Danio rerio: one gene and its partners. The protein of the gene in region 1 purifies or fractionates together with the protein of each later gene. This does not show direct contact. Links are inferred from orthologs where the notes say so. Each region holds a gene or a part of one and is shown on either strand. Other genes may lie near its edges.

The links.
Region 2: the proteins of rccd1 (region 1) and kdm8 purify together in Homo sapiens (co-immunoprecipitation; 3 studies listed by BioGRID and IntAct, counting the BioPlex papers as one, with this or other methods). This does not show direct contact. The link is inferred for Danio rerio from reciprocal best matches to the Homo sapiens genes RCCD1 and KDM8.
Region 3: the proteins of rccd1 (region 1) and spag9a purify together in Homo sapiens (affinity purification with mass spectrometry; 3 studies listed by BioGRID and IntAct, counting the BioPlex papers as one, with this or other methods). This does not show direct contact. The link is inferred for Danio rerio from reciprocal best matches to the Homo sapiens genes RCCD1 and SPAG9.

Annotation. Positions count from the first base shown.
Region 1 is NC_133200.1:3,812,388-3,816,757, reverse strand, and holds the start of rccd1 (RCC1 domain-containing protein 1), read right to left. Parts: upstream 2,860-4,370; 5' UTR 2,794-2,859; coding exon 2,604-2,793; intron 704-2,603; coding exon 515-703; intron 61-514; coding exon 1-60. UniProt on the Homo sapiens protein: Plays a role in transcriptional repression of satellite repeats, possibly by regulating H3K36 methylation levels in centromeric regions together with KDM8.
Region 2 is NC_133178.1:43,226,723-43,230,037, forward strand, and holds the end of kdm8 (lysine-specific demethylase 8), read right to left. Parts: intron 1,473-3,315; coding exon 1,323-1,472; intron 1,210-1,322; coding exon 1,117-1,209; intron 744-1,116; coding exon 579-743; 3' UTR 549-578; downstream 1-548. UniProt on the Homo sapiens protein: Bifunctional enzyme that acts both as an endopeptidase and 2-oxoglutarate-dependent monooxygenase.
Region 3 is NC_133178.1:17,102,928-17,106,585, reverse strand, and holds part of spag9a (sperm associated antigen 9a), read left to right. Parts: intron 1-2,049; coding exon 2,050-2,117; intron 2,118-2,209; coding exon 2,210-2,358; intron 2,359-2,644; coding exon 2,645-2,816; intron 2,817-3,658. UniProt on the Homo sapiens protein: The JNK-interacting protein (JIP) group of scaffold proteins selectively mediates JNK signaling by aggregating specific components of the MAPK cascade to form a functional JNK signaling module.

The DNA.
Region 1 (4,370 bases):
AAGGAGGTTTGTGTTGGACGAAGCCGCCGGACACCAGCGGCAGAGCGGCAGTGTGTTCTGCTGAAACACTCAATATCATCACCACCATTTCTTCAATAACTGTTTGGTTTAGCTCAACTACCAAATCTGACCTCTGAAGACTACATTGATTAGTTTGGACTGCTGAGCAAATCACTGGTACAACCTTCCCTACACTCAAAGAACTCTGCTTATCCAGAGCGAGCAGAAAGGCTGCCAAAATCCCTCTGGACCCCTCACACCCAGCACACTGCCTCTTTGAACTGTTACCTTCTAGTCGACGCTTCAGAGCACCCTAATACACAAACAGTTTCTTCCCCTTAGGCAATCCATCTCATGAACACTTGATGGAAATTGTGACTACTTGCTATACACATATACACTTATTTAACAGCATACTATGTGAACATACCTGGCAATAAAGCTCTTTCTGATTTAGATAAAACACACAGAATTCTCACAGCAATAACAGACACCAGTATATCAGCAGTTTTACCTGAGAGCTCGTGCTCCCTCTTCCACACCAGCTGGTTTTGCTGCGGTTTTATTTCCCATAATTCCACTCTGTCTGTGAAGCTGAGCGTCAGGTGTGTTTCGCTGATGAGAGCGTCTGTGCAGCCCTGACTCACACACACCTGAGCTGACGGTCCACACACACACCCTGACAAATATACACCACTGCCAGCTGAAACACAAACAACAGCATATTTATTTATTTATTTATTTCTGTGTTTATATTTATAAATATATGTGTCTGTGTGTATATATACAGTTGAAGTCAGAATTATTAGCCCCCCTGTTAATTTATTTCCCCAAATTCTGTTTAATGGAGAGATTATGTTTTCAACACATTTCTAATCATAATAGTTTTAATAACTTCTCTGATTTATTTTATCTTTGCCATATAAATAAAAAAAAATATATATATATATAAATATATAAATAAATATATATATATATATATATAAATAAATATATAATATAAATAAATATATATATAAATAAATATATAATATATATATATATATATATATATATATATATAAATAAATATATAATATAAATATATATATATATAAATAAATATAATATATATATATATATATATATATATATATATATATATATATATATATATATATATATATATATATATATATATATATACACACGTGGAGTTTAAAAAACATTTTACAAAAAGTTGACAAGTTTTTTTTGTGGTCACATTGTTGGATTACTTAAATTATATTGCAATTTTGTAAACTAGACGTTTGAATTATATACACAATTTATATAATATAGTAAAATAAAAAGTCCACAAAAATTACAGTACAGTTGAGAGCAGAAGTTTACATGCACTATAAAAAGGCACATAAAGAGAGATTGTTTGAGAAATTGTTATAACTTTTCTTGAAAGTCAAGTTTACACACAATCAGATTATTCTGCCTCTGAAAAAGCTCAGATGATGGTATCAAGGTTTTGGAAGTTTCTGATTGGCTAATTGACAACATTTGAGTTTATTGGAGGCACAACTGTAGAATAGTATTGAAGGAAAAGCTCAAACACACTGCTTCCTTGTGTGACGACATGGGAAAATCAACAAGCCAGAATCAACAACAAAAGCCAGATTACAATTAGCTAAATTACACTGGGAAAAGACTAATGTTTGGAGACATGTCCTCTGCTCTGATGGAGCTAAGATTGAACTGTTTGGCCATAATGACCAGTGTTACATTTGGAGGACAAAGGGGAAAGCGCACAAGCCTAGGAACACCATCCCAACTGTGAAGCATGGGGGCGGCAGCATCATGTTGTGGGGCTGTTTTGCTGCAGAGGGGACTGGTCCACTTCACAGCATAGATGGCATCATGAAGAAACAACATTATGTAGAAATACTGAAGCAACATCTCAAGACATCAGCCAGGAAATTCAAACTTGGCCACAAATGGGTCTTTCAAACAGACCATGACCCTAAGCATACTGCCAAATTAGTTCAAATGTGCTTTAAGGACAACAGAGTGAATGTTTTGGAGTGGCCATCACAAAGCCCTGAACTCAATCCTATAGAAAATTTGTGGGCAGAGTTGAAAAGCTTGTGCGAGCGAGACAGCCAACAAATCTCACTCAGTTACACCAATTCTGTCAGGAGGAATGGGCCAAAATTCCTGCTAACTACTGTGAGAAGCTTGTGGAAGGAGACCCAAAACACTTGACCAGTTATAGTTTAAAAGCAAAGATAAAAAAAAATACCAAGGAAATGTGTGTAAACTTTTGACTGTCTAGAAATTAATTAAAAAAAATCTCAAAAAAACAAAATGCAAAACAAATTCTCTCATTATTCTGGCATTTAGCAAATGTAAATCATTAAGGTAATCCTAACGGTCCTAAATTAGTAAAGGTTTAGTATGATTTACCATCATACATTATTTATAAATATAGACATATTAGTGTAAACAACTGTATTACAGATTAGATGTAGTTTGTGTAAATTATATTATATAAAAACTAAGTAAAAAAAAAAAAAAAAAAAAAAAAAAAAAACATCTGTCAGAGAAAATAGGTTTGCCCCTTGTGTTTGACTTACATTGTGTTTGCTGAAGATCAGCTCTGGAGCTCCAGCAGGCTCTGATTCTGCGGTCTGATCTGTTCACACCTGATTTACACTCATCATCTGATATCAGCACAGGTGAGTTCACTTTACACTTCACCTGTCCGCTCACATCTGCCCGACTGATCTGACCAAAACCATTAAACCCAAAGCCAAACCAACTCATTGACTTACTTTGGTCAACACAAAGAACTGTCAGTTGCTTTTGTGCACGAAAAGTTGTGAGGAAGCCAAACCGATGTCTGCTGTCAAAATAAAAGTGTAAATGAAATACGTTTAGAAATAAAATACAATCGATAATAATAATGACATAGAATTAATCATACTTTTATATTATATTATATTATATTATATTATATTATATTATATTATATTATATTATATTATATTATATTATATTATATTATATTATATTATTTACCTTATTTAAAACTTTAATTTTGACATCTGCTCTGAAGCCATTAGAAGGAAGCGCGTCGCGTTTCCTGCTTCACTTTGTTTCTATGGCGGATCTGAGGGCTGCTGTCAATAACGGCGTCCGTAACCACTGTAAATAAAACACAAAAACTGACATTTACACTGATTTCACTTCGCTTACCACGAGATCAATATTGAGGCTTCGGCTTCAGCAGCTTTGGAGCGCCAGGTGAGCGTTTATTGTGTAGAAATAATAAAGTGGTTTAAAGTCACCGGCTGCGAGCATGAGTTCAGTTTACAGGTGCACACTTCAGATTAATCTCACTTAAATGTGTTCAAAATGTGTTAAAGATGTCTCTTACTGTATAAAACGTTTGTTTGCTATCTCTTTTTCAAGTGTGCTGAGATTTTGCGTTTGTTAATTTACTTTGATAAAGGTTTTGAGGGGAGTGCGTGATGTGTGCTAGGGTAGTGCTAGTCTTAGCTAGTTTCTGATCTGAATCTGATAGATCTGAATTAATCCGTCTTATCTGAACTTGTGAAATGTGATTTCATTTCTTACATTAATCTGATTTAATGTTGAATTTGAATCCTAATCTGTTATGTCTGGTTCATGTCCCGTACTTATCTGTATATTTTGTCATTTTGAGTTTTATTTCTGGTCTGAATCTGATTCTAAAATTAATTACTGGGTATTTATTATCAAATTTACATGTCTGAATCTAATCTGAACGGAACCTGTTGTAATATCTGATGTAATATCAGGTATGAATAAAAACAATACTAATGTGGCTTAATATAAATCTATCAAATAATTTCTGAATCTGATTTTATTTGATTTGTAGTCACAATCTGCTTGTTAAGTCATCATATCTGCTTAAATGTCTTTTATTCTCATTCAGAATCTATAATAGTGAGTTTTTATCTAAATTTGTCATGTTTAATGTGTCTGAATCTGATATAATTTTCTGTGTAATCTGATTTAATATTTGTTCTTCTTCATAATCAAATTTAATATTGCTTTTTAATCTAAATCTCTCAAATCTGATCTGAATCAACTTTTTCTAAGTCTGATCTGATTCAGAAAGATGATTCAGATTAAAATGCAATATTTAAAAAATAGTTTTTGAAGAACAGAAGTTAAATCAGATTTAATTTATTATTTCATTTATTCTTATAAGTGACCTGGTTTCACATCTGTTCAAATTTCTAAATGGGTTTTATAAAGTTTTTATCTGAATTTGATTATTATTTATTTCTGAGCGTGATCTGATTCCATTTTTTCTGGTCTGAATCAGATTAAAATTTTTTCTGAGTCTAATTTGA
Region 2 (3,315 bases), on another chromosome or scaffold:
CTGTTCAGCGAAATATTTGACTGCATGTCACCGCATCCCAAACAATATAACTGAAGAAATGTCCACTGTGCTGAGCGAGAGCGCTTACTGAACACCACACACCACAGCATCGATGATGTAATCGTGCCCAGGACCGAATGTAATGTGAGTGCGGGCCGTCGGGGGAGATGGGAGTGGCGACAAGCGTGCTTTGGCCCGGTTCAAGGCAACTATACCACCTAAGGTGCGTTTTGCATTCACACACACAAGCGTACCGCGCCAAAGCCCAAATAAACCCACCTCTGGCCCACCTCGTCCAACCAGGCCAGGACCGGCCAAGTGAACCGTGTCTGAGCCCGATTCAGAGCACTCACACTTCTTAAACAATACGGGAAACAGGCCTGGGCACGGTTCGGATAGCATAGTGTGAATAGGCCGTAGATTACATACCACCAGTACGATATTAATAGAATATTACACATGTATTTTGAAAAAGTGATGCAAGTGCTGAGAAGTGGGTCATCGTGAAAAAACTAAAACTAAGACTTGAACACAGACAAGCACACACAAACTGAGAATGCTGGTTTATTCAGTACAAATCAGGACCACCAAAAGCTGACAGAAAAGCTGAGCTCTAGGGATCGCACATAATGCCAGTGCTGTAGTGGGATGAAGAGGACGTCCCCAGGACAGAGAACACACTCCTCATAAGAGGCTCTACTGAAATCTGGAAACTTCACCAGGTCTGGATTCTCCACCTCCACCTGGTGGGGGAAAACAAACTGTTTGTTTTTTAAAAGTTTTATAATGTACAACAATGCACAGTGTAAATAGTTTTTTTAAGTTACACTAACAGGGGTAAAAAGGCAGATTTTATGCCTTTTAATGAGTTAATTGAAGTACAGTATGAAAAAGATTCAAAATAACACTACAGTAATCACAATTAGTGTTTCATTTGCAAAGTTATCTGCGTTTATCGGCTCCTGATAATTTTATAAATAAGTATTGCATGCAAAATCAACTAAATTTGTCAATTTTGAAACTCAAAGATTGCCTAATTGTTTTTCATTATTTTTATAATTGTTACTGTAATGTTGGCGTCTATGTTTAAATAACAATATAAACAACATCTTCTACCTGACTGGTGTTATGGAGTAGCTGCGACTCGTGTGGATACAGACTTTTTGTTTCCTCTGGGCTGTAAAGCCGGATGTATTTTCGTCCAACCACCTGACATTCAAAAACAAAGCCATAATGCCATCAAAGGGGGGGGGGGGGGGGGGGGGGACCATCAAACTGCCTTGCCTCTCAAATGCCAGACGAACCATTTGGCTCACGTTTACCTGTGCCAAAAAATTCTGTTGAGGATCCTGATGAAGAGGAGAGACAGTCCCTCCAGGCCCAAACCAGGCATTGATTGTAATGTCATCCTCATCTCCCTCTCCAAGACAACAATAGTCTGGGATACGAATGTCTTCTTTCAGCTCTGGAACCTATGAATGAAAAATCGGTGAATGGTAGCCAATGTTACTGCTATTGTATCTGCATGATGTTACAAGTCAAATGCTACAAATAAACGTACACACTAAAATAAAGGTGATTCAATGCAATTTGTTTATTGTCATGTGCACAGTAAGGAAACATGCTTCCCTGTACAATGAAATTCTTACTTTGCCGTCCACAGTGAAGTCATACACGACATACACATATGTACACAGAAGTGACGGAAATGTAACTATGAAATGTAAATATATAAATATGTCTGAATGTAAACAATATATAATACTGATTGTGGAGTAATATAAACAGATGTATGCAATGTATAGTCTTAAAATTATGCTTATTATGCAAAAAGTGCCAAGTGCAATTGACTTATGTATATTTATGAGATTTATTTTAATCCATGCGCTTTTCCTCTTAACTAATAGTTTTTCATAGTGGAAACAGAGTCTTTAGATTGTTAAAATCTTCTTATTGGTACCCATAATGATTCTATGCCATCACCGTAAATATAAAAAAAAGTCTTGTAAACATTTATTTTTAAAAGTGAAGAACCATTTTCAGCAATGTTATTAAAGGACACCTATTTTACCCTCCTTTTTCATATTTGATATAAGTCTTTTGTGTCCCCAGAATGTGTCTGTAAAGTTTCAGCTCAAAACACCCTTCAGATTATTTAATATACCTTTTTAAATCTGGGACATTTGGACATTGTAGCTGTTTTTGTTGACTGTGCCTTTAACGCAAAAAAGCTGGTTCTCCGTGGCCATCAATAGTTATGTTTCCATCCAAAAATGCGAATAAACTTTATGCGCAAAACTGGATTATCGCATAAAAGTTGTGCGAATGAAGCATCGTTTCCATCCAACGAGTCAAAGCGAACAAAATCGTCACTTCCTGATTAACTGGCGCCAAATATCAACAGTAAAAACTGCATTTGCTGCAGTAGGAGAAGCTGCATCAATCTTTTCTAAATGAATGCGCCTCAGAAGACAATCCTGACAAGAAGTGAGCGCGCAGTGGCGTTTGAAAGTGTCAGACGCGGAGCACAGGCGCTCTTGATTCTGGAGGTCATTAATAATATAATAACATTAATACTGAAATGGTAAGGCGTTTTATAATGATCAAAACAACATTTCAGATGTTTTATAATGTGCTCAGCCTGACGTTTTATCCATTCACACACATTTTAAGCATCACGTGATCTCTTTTGACAAAATCACATGACCTTTTTTAATGCGCATGCTGGAGCTTGTGCGGTAAAAGTGTTTCCATCGCAGTTTATGCACATTTTTTCTTATCGAATAAAAAGTTTATTCTATCCAGTTAGTTTGTTGCGCATTTTTTTATGCGCATTTGCAAAATAAAATAAACAATTGCATAAAATAGGTGGATAAAAAAACATAGCTACTGTGCGTGCCATAGCTGCAGAGATCTCGCCGATGTGTGTAGCCTTTACATAGATAAACACCATAGTGACAGACAGGAATGAAGTAGATCTCCCTTACTACAGTAGGAACGTTCCCAACTGTTATTTGATATATTTGTTGTGGAGTTAATTCAAGCCTTTCTGCAATGATGAGTCTCACAATAAGTGCATGCAAACACCCCACGTTTATCTTTGCACTGTTTTTGTACGACAAATGTGACAGGATATACATTAATTTATGGACATCCGTTATGTTAATGTACAAAATAAACCTGATTTAAGTTCACAAACTGGGATTTGAAGCGTTTTCTTTTATAATTGTACTGACATGCAGCTGTGGTGATAAATTACGTAGCGATTTTATTGTATTTATTACAAACATGCACTGTTTTAAAAATATTTTAAGG
Region 3 (3,658 bases), on another chromosome or scaffold:
TCTGATTTCAGTGGACAATGAAGCATTTTGCTTTGTAGTTGTACTTTTTGTATTACATTGTTAATAAATCTTGGGGGTAAGAGTTTAAAACAATGATTCATTGGTTAATGAATTTACTAACATTAGGTTTATTCAAAGTCCCTTTAAGGCAAGTTATTTTACTCGGCAGTCATCTTTGTAACGTCTCTCAGGCAGCATGCTCTGTATGCTTGGGCATTCTGTTTGAATGGGGAAACATCAAATTCTCCAAAATTACTTGCCAAGCTAATGATTATATTTCATATTACGAATAACCAATAAAATAAAACAACAATTGTCATTTTAGTTTCATTCCTAAATGTTCTTATCACACAAAATCTGCAGAAACTCACATTTGGTCCAAACCCCTCCCCCGGAGAATTGTCATTCTATAGTGATCGCTGATTGGCTCCTGTACTAAAGGCGGGGCTTCATTCGCCATATTGACAGTTGCACTTTTCCCTATTCAAAAGTATATGAGTGACACGTCATCTGTATTCTATAGTCTTTGGTTTAGTTTTGTTTAGTTTAGTTAAAATTTGACAGGACAGAGTATTGCAGCACAAGTCCCTGAAATGCGTCAAACACACACTCAAAAAATAATTGACTAATAAAAATACTAAAATATAACATTTATTGACACACTAATTAAAAAATATCAAACACTATAAGGGTGCTTTCACACCTGTGAATTGATTCAGTTGTTCCGAAACAGGGATTGAAATTGTTACACTGTTGCTCTTGGTGTGGTTTGCTTTCACACTGCAAAGTTTCTAATCGGACCAAAAGAGCTAAAACAAGTCACGTGCGAGTAAACTCTCCTCACATTGGTCAGAGTTTCAGGTTTTTTTTGCAGAGTCCCGCTCAGCTGCCAGGAGAGGGTGTGGATTGGTGGTGTTTGACAAGGTACGTGCGACGTCTGAAGAGTGAGGAGAGATGCGGTGAGAAGGGTGCGCGAAGTACCCTTTTTGAGGACCGGGAGGGAGACGCGAGATTGTTTGTGGGCTTCCGGAGACTGGGGAAACTTCCCGCCCTACTCATAATTCTCTCTTCATATAGCCCTATGCCTATTACATATCCATAAAACAAAGTAATATAACCGCGCTCGGATCGGATCGCTTTCTCACTGCAATCGATCCATTCCAGGGTTTGTTTCAATCGAGCCGAGACCACCTCCTTCAAGCGATCTCGGAACGATTGATTTGGCGCGGATCCGAGAGCGATTGGTGGTTTTACATATGCCAAACGAACCGCGCATACTGGGCAAAAAAGACAGGTTCCGAAGCAAAACTGTAGGTGTGAAAGCACCTTAAATGATAAGTTTTCTATACAACAATTTCAGAGCATGAGAATAAAGGAGAGTTCATGATGTTTAGTTTTACTCCTCTAGGTATAGCAAATGTTTTGTCGCCAAAGAAAGTTGGATGACACTGGAGCCTTAGTTTGAATAATTATGTAAAGCATTTATTAATCGTAGTCCAACATCAACTAAAGCAATAAAATCTAACGTTGTGCTTGTTAACATTAGTTATTGCAAATGTATTACTACTATTATTAGAAATCACTTTCCTGAACGCTCGCGTTCAATCTGCCTTATTGGTGGAATGAACTCCCTAACTGCATCAGAACGACAGAGTCACTCGCTGTCTTCAAGAAACGACTAAAAACTCAACTATTTAGTCTCCACTTCACTTCCTAATCTGCAATTGCCACTCTGGATATACCACTAACTGTACTAAAAAAACAAAAAAAACATTTTTTTTACTAATGCTTTCCTTCTTAGATTTTACAGACCTGAAGCTTGCCTATAGCACTTATTCATTGTTGCTCTTATAGTTGTGTAAATTGCTTCCTTGTCCTCATTTGTAAGTCGCTTTGAATAAAAGCGTCTGCTAAATGACTAAATGTAAATGTAGTAGTTTGTTCATGTTAGTAAATACAATATTTTAAAGTGTTACCATCTTGGTCTTACAGGAGTAAATGTGAGTATACTTAAGAACTGGTAATATTTGATAGTATTTCTTTGCATAGACATGTGAAAGGCCGTGTTTTGGTGGCTCTAGCTGACGGGACACTGGCCATCTTCCATAGAGGTCTTGGTAAGGCACAAGTTTTATTTAACTGATAGTTCAGATACTCGTTCCAGCTTCAAATGATGAAATATAAAGCCACATTCCATGTACTTTTACAGACAGCCAGTGGGATTTAACCAACTACCATCTTCTGGACCTGGGCCGGCCGCATCACTCAATCCGCTGCATGACTGTGGTTCACGATAAAGTGTGGTGCGGCTACAGGAACAAGATCTACATCATTCAGCCCAAAGCTATGAAAATCGAGGTTCAGCATTATGTTTTAGTCTTCAGTAGTCTTAAAATTGTTTAATTACATTTAAATGTGGTTTCCTCAGCATGCCTAAAGTCTGTGTGAAGTTCCTGAGACCCTTATGTCAGTATGTTGATGTCCTTTCAAGTGAAACGGAGTATTGAGTAAGGGCCGGGACTTTGTTTATACGCATCATTCTCTCATAGCAAACCAATGGGAATGTACCTCCGTCATCTACTTGTTATCAACGCTTCTTAATAGCAGATGTAATCAGGGCCTTTGTGTTTGTATGTGAAAACAGAGGTCTTTTGATGCCCATCCGCGTAAGGAGAGTCAGGTGCGTCAGCTGGCCTGGGTGGGTGACGGGATCTGGGTGTCCATCCGGCTGGACTCAACGCTTCGCCTATTCCATGCTCACACCTTCCAGCATCTGCAGGACGTAGACATTGAGCCTTACGTCAGCAAAATGTTAGGTGAGGATGTGTTTATGCTGTTATGTACTTGTCTCCCTTTTTGTTCATTAGTTCATTTTTCTCCGGCTTAGTCTATAATTTATCAGTGCTGACCACTGCGCCACTGTGCTGCCCTCTCCTTTTTGGTATAGTTCGTTTCATATTTAATTTCGTGGTGTTTATTTTTTTATTTATTTTTTTAAATCTCATGTGTTTTGCTCATTTATGTACTCCACAACCGTGATTTGGAGGCCCAATAATGCAGGCTTTTGAAAGCCGGTTTCAAAGTGCAGATTTATAAAAACAAAAGCGTAATTGTTTCCACTACATAAACTACAAAAATGTGATTTAAGGATAATGGTCACATCACTTGCATATCGGTTATATGTTCAGTCTGTATGTGTGAGAACTTGATGATAATCATACTGGACCGCATATGTGTAGGTGTGCAGCGTTTTTTTTTAACTAAATGACATTGCTGACCTGAAAGTATACTCTACTTTGATTTTTCACAGATATGTGAATTTAATTTTAGGAAACGGTTCCATGATTATGCACTGAATTGCAGAACAGCATATAAGCATACATTTTCTATAATTACACAAGCCTCAAAGAAAATTTTCTCCTTTTAAATTATTAATTCACATCACATTAAATAAATATCGCCCCCTGTTTATTTTCCCCCCAATTTCTGTTTAACTGAGAGCAGATTTTTTCAACACATTTCTAAACATAATAGTTTTAATAACTCCTCTTTAATAACTGATTTATTTTATCTTTGCCATGATGCCAGTAAATAATATTTAACTAGATATTTTTCAAGACACTTCTATACAGCTTAAAGTGACATTTAAAGGCTTAAT